Linked DNA regions of Mus musculus: regions 1, 3 and 4 are each reported to be linked to region 2. Evidence: microRNA targets listed by miRTarBase, many of them from high-throughput screens and not tested one by one. Region 2 holds a microRNA gene; each other region holds the end of a gene's coding sequence.
The links. Region 2 holds the annotated microRNA mmu-miR-339-5p (UCCCUGUCCUCCAGGAGCUCACG, at 2,408-2,430, opposite strand). A microRNA usually pairs through its seed, bases 2 to 8, with sites in the 3' UTR of a target mRNA and lowers its output. Matches are read on the target gene's strand: a 7mer-m8 pairs with bases 2 to 8, a 7mer-A1 pairs with bases 2 to 7 and ends in A, and an 8mer does both.

Region 1: miRTarBase lists Smad9 as a target of mmu-miR-339-5p. Seed matches in the 3' UTR shown: 7mer-A1 at 1,195-1,201 and 7mer-m8 at 3,466-3,472.
Region 3: miRTarBase lists Pgpep1 as a target of mmu-miR-339-5p. Seed matches in the 3' UTR shown: 7mer-m8 at 3,000-3,006 and 7mer-A1 at 2,749-2,755.
Region 4: miRTarBase lists Spib as a target of mmu-miR-339-5p. Seed matches in the 3' UTR shown: 7mer-m8 at 2,909-2,915 and 7mer-m8 at 2,302-2,308.

Annotation. Positions count from the first base shown.
Region 1 is chr3:54,797,040-54,801,141 of GRCm38, forward strand. Smad9 (SMAD family member 9) reads left to right here. Exons shown (of 6, transcript NM_019483.5): 6 at 319-4,102. The coding sequence ends at 462. Among named protein-coding and RNA genes, the nearest start is that of Rfxap, 8.7 kb to the right of the region's middle.
Region 2 is chr5:139,367,301-139,371,509 of GRCm38, forward strand. It overlaps Mir339 (microRNA 339), which reads right to left and starts at 2,445; the gene lies at 2,350-2,445. The region is part of intron 2 of 3110082I17Rik (RIKEN cDNA 3110082I17 gene); the gene reads right to left.
Region 3 is chr8:70,646,836-70,650,937 of GRCm38, forward strand. Pgpep1 (pyroglutamyl-peptidase I) reads right to left here. Exons shown (of 5, transcript NM_023217.4): 5 at 1-3,950. The coding sequence ends at 3,758. Among named protein-coding and RNA genes, the nearest start is that of Pgpep1, 11 kb to the right of the region's middle.
Region 4 is chr7:44,524,577-44,528,678 of GRCm38, forward strand. It overlaps Spib (Spi-B transcription factor (Spi-1/PU.1 related)), which reads right to left. Exons shown (of 6, transcript NM_019866.1): 6 at 1,419-3,681. The coding sequence ends at 3,383. Mybpc2 (myosin binding protein C, fast-type) reads right to left here and starts at 93. Exons shown (of 28, transcript NM_146189.3): 1 at 1-93. The coding sequence starts at 13.

The DNA of each region.
Region 1 (4,102 bases), not on the chromosome of region 2:
CGGTCTTTAATGACAGACACAGGCTTCCGCATGAAGAGTAGGACATGAGGTTGAGTCTCTTTCCCTGTAATGCGGAGATGGCTTGCCAGCTTCTCCATGTGGTCTGTAGAGCCCCAGGCACCACTAAATAGGTGTCCAGGTGTAAATGAGCTAACAGAGCCCACCCTGCCTGACCTGGGCCACTCAGAGGAGGAGGCATCTGTTCCCTAGAGGCACCGACTTCTCACAGGGAGCCTGGAACCCTGCATTCCCGTGCTCTGCCTGGTGGCACCTGGCAAAAAGCCGCACTTCAGTCTGGGCTCTGTTCTTCCCCTGCAGGGCTGGGGAGCAGAGTATCATCGCCAGGATGTCACGAGCACCCCCTGCTGGATCGAGATCCATCTTCATGGACCGCTGCAGTGGTTGGATAAGGTGCTCACTCAGATGGGCTCCCCACACAACCCTATCTCTTCAGTGTCTTAAGTCACGTCGTCAGCCACGTTGCCACAGAACAGACTCGGGCAGGGGCTTCCATCGTGGCAACCGCAGCTAATGCAGGGTTCCGGATGCAGATGTAAATACACGTGTAACGCATCCGAGTCACGTTTATATCACCGTTTGTTTTGTGCTACCTACTTAACCTGGGGCCAGTGCGGTGTGGTCGAAGAAGCGTGGTTTCTCTCTGATGGGAGCCAAGTCTTCTGTGAGAGGGAAACAGCACGTGAGGGCGTCGGCAGGACTCAAGGCCACCGAGTCAGCTCATCGTCACTCCACAGGAGGTTGTGCCCCACATGGAAAACACAAAGCTGCTTACACAGAAGGAATAGGAGCACTAGAGCAAAATCAGTCACACACAAGTGGTTTTAAAAAGACCTCACTTGCAATGTGAGTGTCAAGAAAGAAAACCAAGCTTGTCCAGGGACCTGTGAGATAAAGCCACAGAAACTTTATCTCCGAAGCTGAAATACACATAGCCAGGTACTGTGCTGACGGCAGGTACATTCAACCAGATCTAAACTGTGATTGGAGAGGGAGAAACTGTGAAGCTTGGAGTCAGTGGCCTCAATCTAAAACAAGCAAGCAGGCAGGCAGGCAGGCGGGCGGGCGGGCGGGCAGGCGGGTGGGCAGGCAGGCAAGCAAAGCCAAGGCTCTTAAGGGAAACCGGCCTGAGAGGAGGCTTGATCCAGGGTTAGCCCAGAATTCAGGCCCGGAAGCACAGGGAACTCCTGCGTCCACTCTGGAAGCCATCTTCCCGTCTTCCCGTCCCTCCTGTCTGACCTTGCAGATGGCTGCCTGCCCTGTGCACACTACAAACCCCGTGCAGAGATGAAGCTGTAGACTGGAAGGTTGGGAGGGAAGTGCAGGCTAGGCAGGGCATCCCTTGCCTCATTTTTCCTCCTGGTGACAAATAGCAATTAGTGACAGATGATTCAAACAAGAGCAAAGCCTTGGGAAAGCTCGAGGCATCTTTGGATCTTATTTATGCATCTCTCAGCCTGGCACCTATGTTAAGTTATTAGCTGGTTACATCAGTGCAGCCTCTTCTAAAGCTATTAAATACCTGGATATAGCTTCCCAGGTGAAGTAGGAATGTTTCATATGCCCTACATTTTTTTATTTTTATGAGGAAACAGTGGTAGTGAATAATAAAGCATCTTTAAAAAACACCTTATGTGTATATAGACATGCATATATCAGCTCATTCCCTCTGTTGGATGATAAGGGAAATATCCTCCAGACTTCAAGGTACATGCCACTCATTAGGCACCCCATTGCTTCTAAGTTTACTTCAAGCCCTTTGAAAAGGATTATGTAGGATGGCATTTATTGTTTAAAGGATAGAGCTTCCATAATATGATAGAGATATTATATCGGAAACTCATTTCGTCTCAAACTACCACTTAGAGTGTATAAGAAAAAAAACCCAAGCATGTCGATTCATTAAGTCTGTCTTGTGCATTTGTGTGTACTGGGTACAGTGTCAGGTACCAGGGAATCAAACGCACATTAGAGGCAGTCCCCACCTCCATAACGCCAGACATCTAACGGTAAACCATTTGCACAGACATCAGGTCTCAGAACTTTAAAAACCCCACACATGTGAATCTTCTTGGGCTCGAAAAATAACATAATCGAGTTCTGAACAATAGTTAAGAACTCTATTGTAATAACTATATTGGGATTTTATGTCTCCTCAGAACACTTGAGTAATTTATCTTTTCATAACTACTTCCATTCCTAGCCACCCCACCTCCTGGAATCCCTATTTTTTTCTGATATTTCTCCTGGTTTCTTCCTTGGAAAAGCCATGTGTACCCATCTAAGGACACAAAGCATTGTCCCAGATTTCCCACCGCCCCTTTGATCTCCTCACAAGTGGCCAAATATCCCTGGCAATCTGTAGTTGTAAGAAACTATTCAGGAGTAGGAGCTTCAGGGTGTAGTGGTACCGTGGTACCTGCCTTTGATCTCAGCAGCAGGGAGACAGAGGCAGGTGGATCCCTGTGAATTCAGGCCTGACCTGGTCTATATAAGGAGTTACAGGACAGCCAGGGCTATACACTGAAACCCTGTCTCAAAACAAAAGTAGAAGCTTAAAAACAAAACTAAAAACCAAACAAACAAGTAAACTACTTGGACTTCCTTGCAGTGTTAAGAAATCAAAATATTGAAGCGTGTCTGATTTCTTTGAGAAAGGAATCATGACCTAGGTTCATATGTATATTATCAGAGAATTTAGCTTTGAAGAGATATAAGTCCTATGCTTGTATAGCAGAGTCACATTTTAATGAATTTTCCCCCTTTGGCTGTTAAGAGATCTAAACGTATCATAACGTAATCCTTGACTTCAACTCCTCTGAGTGACCATGTGGCGATCATTCCATGAAGCTGACAAGCAAACTTATGCTGCGTAGGTTGTTTTACAGGGTGAAGGGGAAAGTGGGCAGCCAGGCCTTTGCACACTGCAAGTTGCCTCAGGCAGGGTCAGGCAATGGAGATCTGTATCGGTTTGGCTTGCCCACAAGACCCAGAATGTTTATCACTGTGTACAAGTCAGTATGTGTGAGTCTTAGCAAAAATAAGACATGATCAGTTTGTTTCAGCTAAGTGATTACAACTGTTTCAGAACTAAGAAGACACCACCTTGTTAACATACACACTTCGGTGTTGTGTTGTAGAGTCAGCAAAACTCTCTAGCATTTAGAATATTCTTTTCATTGTGTTCTAAGGGTGGAGTTATCCTCATAACGACAACAGAAAGAAGAGTAGCAAAATCATTTTATAAAAATCGCTTGCTGGACTTTAAGCTCCTGCTTAATGCTGAGTATGTTCCAGATATTTCATGTATGTATTTAATAAAGTAAAATATACCATGCATTCCACATCGTCTTACCTGCTAGAGTCAAGAGCCGAACTTTGCAAGGGTAGGTAACCCTCACATATGTTCATAATAAGTTCTTTTTTTGGGGGGAGAGGGAGGTTCAAGACAGGGTTTCTCTGTATAGCCCTGGCTGTCCTGGAACTCGCTTTGTAGAACAGGCTGGCCTCAAACTCAGAAATCTGCTTGCCTCTGCCTCCCGAGTGCTGGGATTAAAGGCGTGCACCACCACGTCCGGCTCTCATGATAAATTCGAATGTATATAAAACAGACAGCCAAGATTACTCTTTGATTCCCAGAAGCCTTGCCTTCCTGAAATGCCACACACCACACTTTGGTAGTCTGTGCTAGACAATGATACACCTTTTGGCTTATTTTTCTTTCAAACTCTAGGAAATACTTCTATGTATATGATCTATGGCTCCTTAAGATGCTTAATCATAAACTGTTCTACTTAGAAAATGAGCTTTTTAAGAAGTCTTCATGCTGTAAAAACTTTGGTGGCACTATAACAAAAAAGACATCTTCGAATATTTGGCATTAATGTGTAATTTTAATGATACTTTGCAGAATTTTTAGAGGTGTTTAACTACTGCTCCCCAGCTTAGCACCAGGACACACAACTCAAACCCTTTGTATGGTAAAGCTGTTGTTATTAAAAAGTGAATTTAATACACACTGTCGTTTGAGCATCCTACCTTAGCAACTCAACAGCCACGTCCATCAAGGAACATGTCTATAGGA
Region 2 (4,209 bases):
GGTTCTCAGCACCCACATGGTAGCTCTCAATCATTTGTAATTGTAGCTCCAGAGGGCCCAAAGTCCTCTTCTGAACTCTGGGTACATATGTAATGCTCATTCAGGCATGCATATAAAACATGCACACTGGCCTGAGCGAATGCTGCACCCACGGAGGGTCCTTGTATGGATGGTGGGCTCAGCTCTTTGCTGTCCCTACCAAAGCCAAGGAAGGCTGACACTTTGGGGCCAGTGCAGCATCAGCAGTCTCCCAAATGGCACACCCTGAGGGTTCCTCCACCCACATCTCCATCACCACTCATGGTTTGCACTGATCCAGGGCTGGCGGAGCAGGCAGCCTCTGTCCCATGCTAACAGGCAAGGCTTGCTGGGTGACTCTGGAGATTGAGAAGAAAACTGGACCATCTCCCAACAGCCTTGGTAGCTAAATTCAAGACTGCCTGGTGTCCATGACAGGGCACAGCCTGTGTGTGTGTGTGTGTGTGTAGGTTAGCTGGTAAGCTGACCTGGAATTATAAAGCCCAGGCTAGCTAGCGTCCCCTTAGGGGCAATCTTGCCTCAGGCTCCCTGAGTTCTGGATGTTGAGAAGAGTCCTGGCCAGGCATTCTGAGCCACACTGGTAAGGGGAGTCTGGCCTGCTTGTGCCTGTTGCTGGTGAGGAGGCTTAACTCTACCATCTGTAAGCAGGGGCATCCTGGTGAGTGGGTGTTTTCTGCCAGCTCAAAGACTCCAGGCGGCACTTTCTCCCTTGCCCTCACCAGGCTGTGTGTAAACCCAGGACCAACCTTGAACCAGGGCAACTGCGTGGGCCTGCTTCTCTTGTTTGTTCCCCAGGTTTAATCAGGAAGCCCTGGTTGAACCTTACTGTTTTTGAAGCCTCAGGCGCTGAGGAGGCACACAAAGGTGGGTGCTGCAGCAAACCGCAGCTTCAAGCACCCCACCACTGCCCCTCCCTTGGGTCCCATGGGGGTAAAAGAGGCCTTCTGTGTAGGAGGAAGGGCAAGGGCCCACTGTCCTTCCCCAATGAAGTTCACAGGGCAGAGAGATGTTCTCCTTCTCCACACAGCTAGAAGGAGCTGCTGGCCCTGGCCAGGGCATCACCTGTGCTGGGGCAGTATGACTGGGGATATTCTCTTAATAGGGATTTGTGCTGTCCTGGGGAGGCAGTCAATGCCCAGCGTTTTTGAGCATCCACTGGGCTCAAAAACATCTTGTTCAAACGTTCTTGGAATTGTGGAGGAGGTTGGTGAATATGTCCTGAGGATTGAAAGTCCAAGGCTAGCTTGAGCTTAGCAAGTCTGTCTCAAACATAAACAAAAACCCCTCAAAGGTTAGTTGTAGACCTTGGCAGTAGAGGCCCTGGTAGCCAGTGCCAGACACACAGCTCTGTAGGACCTTCTTTCTTGGAATGACTGAGTCAGGTGTAAGGATGAACACAGGTGAGGGTAGAAGGACCCTCTGTTGTCCCCACCCCATCATGTGACCAGAGCAGCTGTACTGGGGGCGCAGCTGAGTGGCAGGGAATCCAGTCATTTGACCCGCTTCACACAGGACAGAGTCCCAAGGGCACAGCAGATGGTCGATGGAGCCCAGCACCTGGCCTGTCTATCACATACCCAGGTGGTGCCTCCAAGGCTGGGGCATGGTCTCTGGTCCCTACCACCCCTATACCTGTTCCCCAGACATTGGGAATGGCCTACAAGTGACAGCGATGTTTGTGGGGGGAGACCACGAAGCCTGCTGAGGCTGACGAGCTGGGTGCCAAGGCCAGTGGACTCTGTTCTCATTCCCCAGCCCAGAATCAGCCCTCCTCCATTCAGTTGGAGCCAGCCCGAGTCCAGGGTCCCACAGAGGTGTTCGACCTTGAGAGCCCATTCCGGTTCACAGACCTCAGCAGACTGCTGCCCGGCTATGCACTCACTCGGTAGCAAGATTTCCAGAAGACAAAGCAAAAGCACAACAACATAATGAAGAGAGGGGAGAGAGTTTGTTTTAAAGGAAGCTTTTTATTTGGAGGTAATTACTGAAACACAGTGGATGTAGAAGTGACCCAGGGACACCAACTGCCAGGACATAGGTCACACGCAGTAGAATCAACTGGTGCTACAGAGGACACACACAGAGGGAGAGACCTGGAAGGCTCCCTCCTGGCTCCTCTCCCCTCCCCCTCAGTGTCTGCGTAGGTTAAGATGATTAGGACCCCAGAGGGGTCAGTGCCTTGCGTCACCGCACAGAGAAACCAGAGTCCCCTCCATCCACGGAACAACCTGCAGATCTGCACAATCGAGTTCAAGAAGGTACAGCATGAACAGCCAGCGACTGAGCACCCTGGTCTGCAGGCAAGGGTCTGTGGACAGTGCAGGGGTGGACACCGGCTCTGTCGCCGAGGCGCTCACAGGCAGGCATACGTGAGCTCCTGGAGGACAGGGATAGTGGCCACCCCGTCCAGCTCTGCACAGCTGTGCTCTCACCACCTTGGTGCCAAGGCAAGGGTCACACCCACCTAGGGATCCCCTTCTAGATATGACTTTTCAAATGCACAAAATGTCACTTAAGCCCCATGCTTGAAAAAGACAAAGATGACAGATGCGGCACCCTGCCTCCTCAGTGACCTGAATGGCGGAAGTGAGCAGCAGATCTGATGTATCCCTGAGAAACAGGAGACTGGGCCATCACCAGCTGCCACAGGACACACGAATCCCCAGAGGTGATGTTGTCACCGCCACCAAGCCCAGGCTCTGTCCAGGCCACAGGTCCTTCTGCAGTCACGGCAGAAACACCCTGTGTCACTTACTTGGGGGTTAAACACAGGCTAAAGCCTAAGTCTTGACCTCAGGCTGCCCAGAGAATTAACTTTCTCACAGACTCCAGCACAGACCACAAGGCCTCTAGGCTGTGAGTCCCCGACTATACATCGGTTTTCTTGGCTCTCTGGCCTCAGCTCACCTGACTCAGGCTGACTGGCCCCACCAACAAGGTTATGAAGGTCCCATGGGTTTTCTAGGTCTAACCTCTCCCACTGCTATCTCACATGTCCCCAGTTCCAACACAGGAGCAGACAGACCCCAGGAGCTTGAACAGGGTGCAGATTTCCTTGACTAGGCTGAGGGGCTGGCTCCAGAAGATAAAACTTCCGTCCCTTTGCCTGCAGATCACAGGAACTGGTCCCAGCAGCTCTGGCACAAGTTTAAGTGGGAAGCCCAACTCGGCCATCAGTGAAGCTCCTGGTCCAAGAGCAAGGACAGAGTCAGCCCCTGCCACCTGAATCACGGGCGTGAGGGCGACACACACAACAAGCTCCCACCTAGGTCTACTCAGAAATGGCAGAAAGCAGCCAACAGGCAGGGAAGAGGGCCCTGCAGCGGGGGAGATGGGGAGGTCTCTAATCAGACCCCTGCAGTAGGAGACCCTGAAGTGAAGGAGAGGGAGGGGCTTGCATCTATAACTGAGCATTCCCAGGCCAGGAAAAGCCTGCTGACACAAGAACCTGTGTACTGTGCAGAGCCTGCGCTGCGTCCCTGAGCCGAGCGAGACTCAGTCTCATTTCAGCTGCAGTCTGCCTCCTTCGCCCTAGCTGGAGGCCTTCTTTCTAGCCAGGGCCAGGTACCCACATCCCCTTCTCTAGAGCTTCCCGGCATGCCCACCACCCAGGGATGCTTGTTCTAGCCTGGTTTCCACGTGCCCCACTCCCAATTCTATTTGAGTGTGCCGGTAATCAAAATGCTTTTGATTTTGGCTTCCTCTGGTAGAGCAGCTGTGTTCACACATCCCAAACTGCCTAGTGGACCCCCAAGTGACATTAAGGTCATGGAAGCTTTCTTGCTGTGGCCAAGGAAAGGCCATTTCTCCTGCTACAACGGGCCCAGCAACCACCCTGCAAGCAAGGTCAGATGTCTCTGCTCACCTGGGTAAGTGACTCCCTAGCAATCCAAAACTCCCCACCCCCCTTTTTTTAAAACAGCAGAAATGTGAAGACAGCTCTGAGCCAACGAGGGCAGAGATGACCAGAACAAACACTGGGGCACAAACAACACTCGCAGGATCCTCTATAGTTCCTACTTTTTGTGCTGATCTTGCTATTATAATGCAGAGCGGATTTCTAAAGCTTGAAAAGCCCACTAAGCAAAGTGTGGGAGTCATCCAAGGTGCGGGTGCAAGCAGCTACAACTGGGCAGAAAATGGGGTCTCCCAGGGAAAAAAAAAAAACCA
Region 3 (4,102 bases), not on the chromosome of region 2:
TCCCCCCTGAGTCACCTTGCCCACCTCTCTCCCTCTCTTCCTGATAATTTGGTTTTTTGTCTCTCAAATCCCAGCCTGGCCTCTAACTTGGAGTGTAGGGGGAGGCTGGCCTTGAACTCTTGTTCTGCCTCCAGGACCATTGCCTGGATGATGCAATCCTTACAGCTTGTGACCAGTGTCCCTGACACCAGTGACAGGCCTTACTGACAGGCATGTTTAGTGGCTGTGGCAACTCAGGATATAGCTTTTCAAACCCAAACATTGACTTGGGTTCATTCCCCTACTGCTGCATATAAAGAAAAAAAAAAAAAAAAGAGCTATGTGCCCTGTTTTCTAGTCCAGACACTGTACTTTGGGGGGGGGGGGCGGGAGGCATTTCACCAGACACAGAACACCAAAGCCCCTCTATCTGTTTGCTCTCTCCAGCCTGTGGATGTAGAGAAATGGTGGGCTGGGGAGGGAGGCCACCTGCCTGGGTACACATTTGAGAAGCCATCGGCATGCATAGGGACCCCACAGGGACCCCCACAGCCCCAACTCTCAGAGTCCAGGCTCTGAGAGTAAGGCTTTGTCTCTATGTTCCCAGAGGGGACTCTGGGCTCAGACACTCCAAGGGGTAGAGAGGTCAAGGGTGAGCTGTCTAGACAGTGGGAGGGAGAAGGGCAGGCTGGAGGCGCTCTCCTAGCATACAGCAAGGTCACCTTGGGGGCGCAGGCACAAGCATCCTGTGCACACAGCAGCTGGTCTGACTTCCAGCCAAAGTCCTCACTCAAAAGCACCTAGAGTCTGCTTTTCCAACTTCCCCCAGCCTCGGGGTCCCCGCTTTCCTGAAGGTTTACACGCCAGCTTGAGAAGTACAGGAGAGAGTTCCCATTTTAGCTGAAGCCATCAATTTAACTTCAAAGATCTGCCCCCAAAGCAGGCTCAGGCGGAGGCTTAACCCTGCCATCCCTGGGACCTGGAGGCAAGGAATTCAAGGTCACCCTCAGCCACATAGTGTGAAGCCAGCCCAGGCTACACAAGATCCTGTACCACCCCCCACCATCTCCCAAAAAAATGAATTCAGAAGATTGGTGCCCACTATGGTGATCCTGCCTCCAATTCTTGCAGTTTGGCCCTCCACGTGGCCTCAGGAAACACTGGAGTGGCCCAGGGCACAGCATGCTGGTGTTGGTCTGAAAGCTACATCTCCACACCTAAGTTGATATCATAAATCAGACACTTTCTCAGACTGGCTGAGACCTCAGATTCTACCACTGCTGTCCCTGCACAAGTCCCTGGCTTCAGGTTTATGCCATGTTACTTCTCTTGCTCCGCTGGGCTAGCTTTCTACTTTGCCATTAATGGTAAGGGCCAGCCAGGCCCAGGTCAGGCTCTGCCCACACATCTGCCTACCTCTTGAAGCCCCACCCACACTCCCCAGGGTAAGCATGGGAAATGAAGGTCAGTGCTGGGGTGACCTGGACCTCAAGGGTCAATGTGACCAGTCTAGGTGACACCTGGCAACTACAGACCCTGAGCCCTACCTGCCAAAAAACGACAAAAAAAAAAAAAAAAAAAAAAAAACAAGTAGTTTTGGATCAGGGCAAGGGGTGTGTGTTTAAGAGATACCTAAATAAATAACTACCAGCCCCATGTCCTGGAATCCCCCTCAGCTCAACAGTGGGGACTAGAACATGACATGTGCACCCTCCTGGGGTCCCTGAGCATGGTGTTCCCATGCCAGGGACTTTGGGAAAATTGAGAGTGGAGCACAGCCCATGGTCTTCCTAAGGAAGACTTGCCAGGCACTGATACATCTGAAGCAGGACTGCCACACGTTGGAGGGCCAGCCTGAGCTACAGAGGTCAGGTAGAACTCTGCCTCAGAACACAAAAACAAAGACATACGGGAACCAAAGTCAGATCCACCTTGGTCATCTCAGGGGGAGGCTGAGGCCACAGGACCAGGAGTTCAAGGCCTGCCTTGTCTACATGATGTCTCAAAAGCCCAGAGCCCTGGGGAATCCCTTACTCCTGAGCCCCCATCTTCCTGCCCATGGCTATCTGGGAAACTGCAGGGCCTCTCTCTCTGGAGAAGGTGTTAGCACAGGACTGGGGGGAGGGTAAGAGGGGGAGCCCTCGTTATTCAAACTGCAGGCCCACACCCATAGATGCCTTTGTAGGGACAGCAAATCACCCTGGGGCACTCCAGGGTGCCCTCAACCCTGAGATTCAGAAAGAGAGCCAACCACTCAGATCTCCATGTGGCGACAAATAAGCTTCAGACCCAGGATCAACAAGATGATGACATGAAGAAACCACATCAGAACAAGGAACACTAGAGCTTAAAAGTAGCCAGGCCCAGCACACAGGCTTTCACAAGCCCTGCACTGAGTAGGCCGAGGTAGGAGGGTCAGGATTTAAGGTCAGCTTCAGCTACAGTGAATTGGAGGCTAGCCTGGGCTATAGGAGACCCAGTCTCACAAACAACAAGAAGATCCAGGGATGAGAAGTCACTTCAGAATTCAGATCCATCAATCCCGTGGGGACACCGAGGTCTCTATCCATCCACAAAAGAGAAGGTGGCATCCACAATGTACTTGGCTTCACTGGCAGGAACTGTACTTGGTCTTGGAAGGAGTCCAGGTCACATGCTACATCCCACCCTTCCTGAGAGCCCCTCCTCCTGGCTTGGCAGTTCAAAGTCAGCCAGAGACAAAGGCTGGCTGGAGTCCCTGGCACACTTCCAAATGCAGTTCAGCAGATATCCCTGTGGCTGATAGGACATGCAGGGACATGCCTGGGCACCGCAGCCTCTCACCCCAGGTCCCTCACAGGATATTAGAGGCTGGCTATCTCAAGATGGAGAAAATCCACAGCTCCAGGTGATGGTTCACACGGTAGGTTCTGGGTCCCAGGTGGGCCATGTGTGGTGGCAAACACCTGTCCCCTTAGTGCTTAGGAAACTGAGGCCAGAGGATCAGGAGTTCACACGAGGCCAGCCTAGGCTACCTGAGACCCTGTCTCCAAAGAAAAAACAAACAAACAACAAATACCCTCTAAAGTTTAGAGTATCTAAAATTTTAAGAGTCTTAAAATATCAAAAAGAGAACAAGAAAGATCATGGCAGGGTCGGCTCCCCACAGGCACCAGAGGCTACTGCGGCCAGGCCCTTGGTGGCCATAGCAGCCTGCTCTTCTGAGCAAAGGGAACCCACTATGGAGACCCAAAGTATGATGGCATTTTCAGGGCAGGAGGCAAAAGAGGCCGCCCTCCCCAGGAGAAAGGAAAGACACTTGTTGGTTAGGCCTGAAGTCTTAACAATGGGAACATAAGTTACGCTGTTCTGTTCTAGCACTGAAGGAAGGTGGGTACAACAAAGAAGGATGGGGACAGACAGAGGCAGAGAGAGACAGACACAGACAGAAACAGACAGAAGATAGAAAAGGCAACCAGGTCCCAAGTGGCTTTGGCGGGGACCATCTAGGGTTTAAGACATGGATTAGAGCTAATCTACTTTATGATACTTTGTGAGGCCCCAGCCACAGGGCAAGCTTCAACTCCTTGTCCATACACCTGAAAATGCAGACTGCGTCAGGGTCAAGGTGGCCCCATGGCATGTGTGCAGACCACTAGCCCTGGCCTCTGGGCGCAGAAGTGTCCCCAGATGATATTCAGATGGGAGCTCTCTCAATTGCCCCCTTGTGGTCCATTAGGAGGGGCAGATGAGTCAGGATGGCCCCTCTCTCGGCACCGCACCCAGGTGTACATGGCTGTCAGAGCTGGCGGCAACAGCTGATGTCTCCCTCGGCTTGCTCCAGGACACCCAGCATCTCCTCGATGATAGCTCGTAGCGCCCGGCCTAGCTGGTCGGCGTTGTAGGGCTTACCCAGTGGGGGCACGTGGACAAAAGCGGAGCGGCCGCGGCCCTGGTAGAGCGATGTATAATACGTGAAGTCACACAGATACCTGAGACAGATGGGAGGAAAAGTCACAGTCACTATGTCCCAGGCCAAAGCCACCAGGCTTCTGAAAAGTCCTTCAAAGCTCTGGGGCACAGCTCTGGGGCACAGCTGGGAGGTGGAGGAGAATCTAGGGGTCAGGAATTTGGGGGACCCTGG
Region 4 (4,102 bases), not on the chromosome of region 2:
TAGCCTCAGGCATGTCGGCGACCTTCTCCTGCTCCCAGGACTTGGGACCGCAGTGGCTCTAACCAGGCCCTAGCAGGGACAGGTGGGTCTCCAGGAGGAGCCCTTTATGGAGTCTCGAGACTCCCAGGAGGCAGCGCAGGGCCGCCCCGCATTCCTCTTGCATGCTCTAAAGGGCGAGAAATAGCGAGCAGGCAGGAGTGGAGGGATGCCAAGGCCCTAGTGGGGATGGGATGTGGTGCTTAGACACCTGAGTCTGTGGAGGTGCAAAGGTGAAGACTGCGTGACCGCAGAAAGAGGGGAACTGGAACCCCAGAGTCTGGGGGCACAGGGGTCCAGATTCTTAGGTCCTGGATGAAGTGGGGGGGAGAAGGAGGAACGAGAAGTGGCCAGAGCACAAGATGGGGAGAGGGGGGAAGCAGAGAGGGCACTTGTGTGGGGGCAAAGAACGAGGAGGAAAAGAGAAAAGGAAAAAAGGGAGGGAAATCCTGGGTCTTGGGAACGGGCGTGGGGGGCTGGGAGTCTCAGGTGCACGGGGCAAGCGGGGCGGGTTCTGGAAGCCTTTCTTAGCCCCAGTCAGGAGTTTTCTAGAAACCAGAGACGGGAAGGATAGTCCGATTTCCCCCGCGTAGGCAGGACGGGTGCCGGCCTCAGGGAAGAGTTCTCGGTGTCCCTCCCGCCCTATTCTGATCCGGGTCCCAATGGGAGCGGCCTGGCCGGCTGCCCGTCACCGGCCAAGTGCAGAGAGGCCGGGAAGGCCCTGGAGAGCTGCCCAGGCCCGGCTCCTTCCCAGCACCAGAGGGGAGGAGCGGGTAAGGAGGAGGAGAGGGACACTTGGGGAACCACAGGTGTGGCTGGCCCAGAAGGGTGTCAGAGGAAGGAACCAGGGTATCGAAGACAAGCTGTCCTCCCCCCCCCCTTTTACTCTTTGTGTCCCTCCCTCCTTTCTACTTTCAAAAAAAAGATCCCCTAACAGCCGGAAGCTTCCTGGCTTCTGGGGGCACAAAGTCCTGTCACACCATTGGTTGCAGTGCAAAAACTTCCACCTCGCTCCCTAGGGAGCAGGCAAGTTGCACAGCAACCCATTGTAGTAACACACCCCTGTAACCCGGAATTCCAGAGACTGAGCTGAGACAGGGCCATTGGAGTGACTTCAAGACCAGCCTGAACTACAACGTAAGGAAGAGCCTATCTTCAAGACAAAAAAACAAAAACCGAACAGTCAGATGTCTGGAATGGAGGGGTGAGCAGAAAAGCAAGGTGGGAAACAATGGTTTCCTCATTCAAGCCCTAGCCTGGCCCACCACCTTCCTTTCTCCCTCCCCCTCCCTCCCCCTCCCTCCCTATGACTGCCACAGTCTCAGAAGAGTTCATGTGGAGGTGCAGGGGACAGTTCCTAATAAAGGGTCCCAAGACGGCTTAATTTTGATGTACACTTTATTTATTATGCATGTATAGTGGTGATGAGAAATAATTTTATTTAGTACAGTTTAGCCTTGACCACATGGACATCTGGATCTTCCATGACCCTGTTCCCCCTCCCGGCCACCCACAGAGGTGAGTTCCGGTGTGTCACAGGCTCATTGGGGAGGCTCATGGGGTTGCAAAGAGTTTTAAGGGCCTCTTCATCGTCTGTTTCTCAGAGAGACGGAAGCCTGAGTGCCCCCCTCCCCTCACTCAGGCTTCAAAGCTCTGGGTTCTGATTCTGCTGTGGATGCCCAAGACAAACCCACAGTTTGAGCCTACTTGGCCTGTAGCACTTGAACGGAAAAGACTGGGCCTGAACAGGCGGGTGTGAGGAAGTCACTGGTGTGAGACAGACAGGCACTGAGCAGGGTCCTGGGCAGACACCTGGACAGAGGCCGGCCCCAGAAAAGCTGGCCAGAAGTCACCAGTTGTCCAAAGATTCACACTTAGATATCTGGGTGGCGGGAGTGCTTTCTAGCTTGACAGATCACTATGAAAGCGGGCTTTCCTCCAAAGAAAGCACCTGCAGGGACTTAATTTGCCTGCCTTGTGGGTGGGGGTTGACCAAGTCTAGAAGTCTGTCTACCCATGGCGTGGGTAAGCACAGAGTAGTAAGGTATGTTCATAGTTCCAGACGCAGAGGCAGGAAGAGTGTCATGAGCTTGAAGCCAGCCTGGGCTACACAAATAGACCTTGACTTAAGAAAAAGGAAAAAGGGCGTGGTGGTGCACGCCTTTAATCCCAGCATTTGAGAGGCAGAGGCAGGTGGATTTCTGAGTTTAAGGCCAGCCTGGTCTACAGAGTGAGTTCCAGAACGGCCAGGGCTACACAGAGAAACCCTGTCTCGAAAACAACAACAACAAAAAGACAAGACAATGGAAAGAAACAGTCACGTGGTGCGCTGCCTGACATCTGAGCATTCTGGCTGAGGCAAGGGCTCAAGGTCTTCCCTAGCTACACAGTGAGAGTGAGTTCAAGACCAGCCTGAGCTACATAAGACTCAATCTCAAGAATAAAAGGCACCGGCCTTGCCACAGCCATACCTCTGCCACACATCCCCCTCAAACACAACATACAGGTCGCGCCTCAGTCAGTGTGTGAATGCAGGGCTGCTGAGAGCCTAGAGAACTTCCCATATGATCAAGGGATCCCAGAAGGAAGGGCCCAACCTATAAGGTTCACTGAACCTCCCACCCTACCTTACCCAGCCATTCATCTCGGACATAGGTCCCAGAGGGTCCCAAGGGGTGCCTGAGGCAAGAGGAGCCTGAGGCAAGAGGACTGCCACTAGCTTGAGAATAGCCCAGCCCGGGTTACATAGTAAAATCTCTCAAAAAAGGAAAAAACCTGGTGTGATGGTGCACCCTTGTCATCCCAGCACTCAGGAGGCCGAGGCAGGACGATTGTTAAAAGTTGGGGGGCCAGCCTGAGCTACATAATGAGACCCTGTCTCAAACAAACAAAAGTCATAAACGGACGCAGAGAAAAGTCACACACAGGTGGCACAGGGTTCTCAGAGAGCTCCAAACATAACTAGACCTCAGATCTAACAAGGGCTTCAGGGGGAGTACAGAGGGACCGACCTATCTGGCCAACAAAACAAGGGTTTGGGGGGGGCTGTAGACAGCGCCACCTGCTGGTGAGATGTCATGTGAGCTCACAGGACTCGCAAGAACTGCGGTTTCTGGAACCGTAGACGACATCAGGGCTCCCCCATCCCCCCCCCCCCCGAGAAACCTGCCATTCTGAAACCGTGTAGAATGGCCAGTGCTCCCTCAAACACGACCATCCTAGATTGGAATCCTATACACGGCACAGGAAACTCTGGGGAGGCTCTAGGGAGAGCTGAGAACCCTGACTGCCCTCATATGGGGCTCCATGGGACTTAGGGGCCAGAAAGGGGTCCTTAGCGGAGTGCTCAGACATGCCGGGAGGCTGGCAGCAGCGCGCTGTCAAACTGGTAGGTGAGTTTGCGTTTGACCTTGCGGATTTCGCCTGTCTTGGCATAGTTGCGCAGCGCTCGGGCCAGCTTCTGATACGTCATGCGCTTGCGGTTGCCCTTCTGCTGGCCCCAGCGGCGAGCCAACAACTCCTTGTGCTTGGAGGAGAACTGGAAGACGCCGGCACCTGGCTCCACCCACCACACGCACTCGCGCATGTCCCCGCGTAGGAGCAACCCCAGCAAGAACTGGTACAGGCGCAGCTTCTTGCGTGCACCTGCAGGGTGTTGGATACCAGCGTTAAGAGGGGGAAGTCCGTTAAAGGAACCCCCAGAGCTACGGCCCCTCGCCACCCTTAGTTTTCACAATGGAGTTGGGCCTGGTTGGCTGCAACTACTCCAGAGGCTGAGGAAAGATCACCAAGTTCAAGATCAGCCTAGGTAACTTAGGGAGACTGTCTTTTAAAAGTAAGAGGGTGAGGCTTGGCTCAGTGATAGAGCCCCGTGCCTAGAATCCCTCCAGTGAGCGCGGGAGTATAAATAAGATGACTGGTTTGACATACGGAAAATTGAGGTCCAACAGAGAATAATTGGTTTGAAAGGTTGTCAGACACAGAGGCCTAAGGGGAGGAGGATTGTAGGTATATATTGGGTTTCCTTTGGCTGTTACTGTGTCTTTGTGCACAACGGAAACCCAGG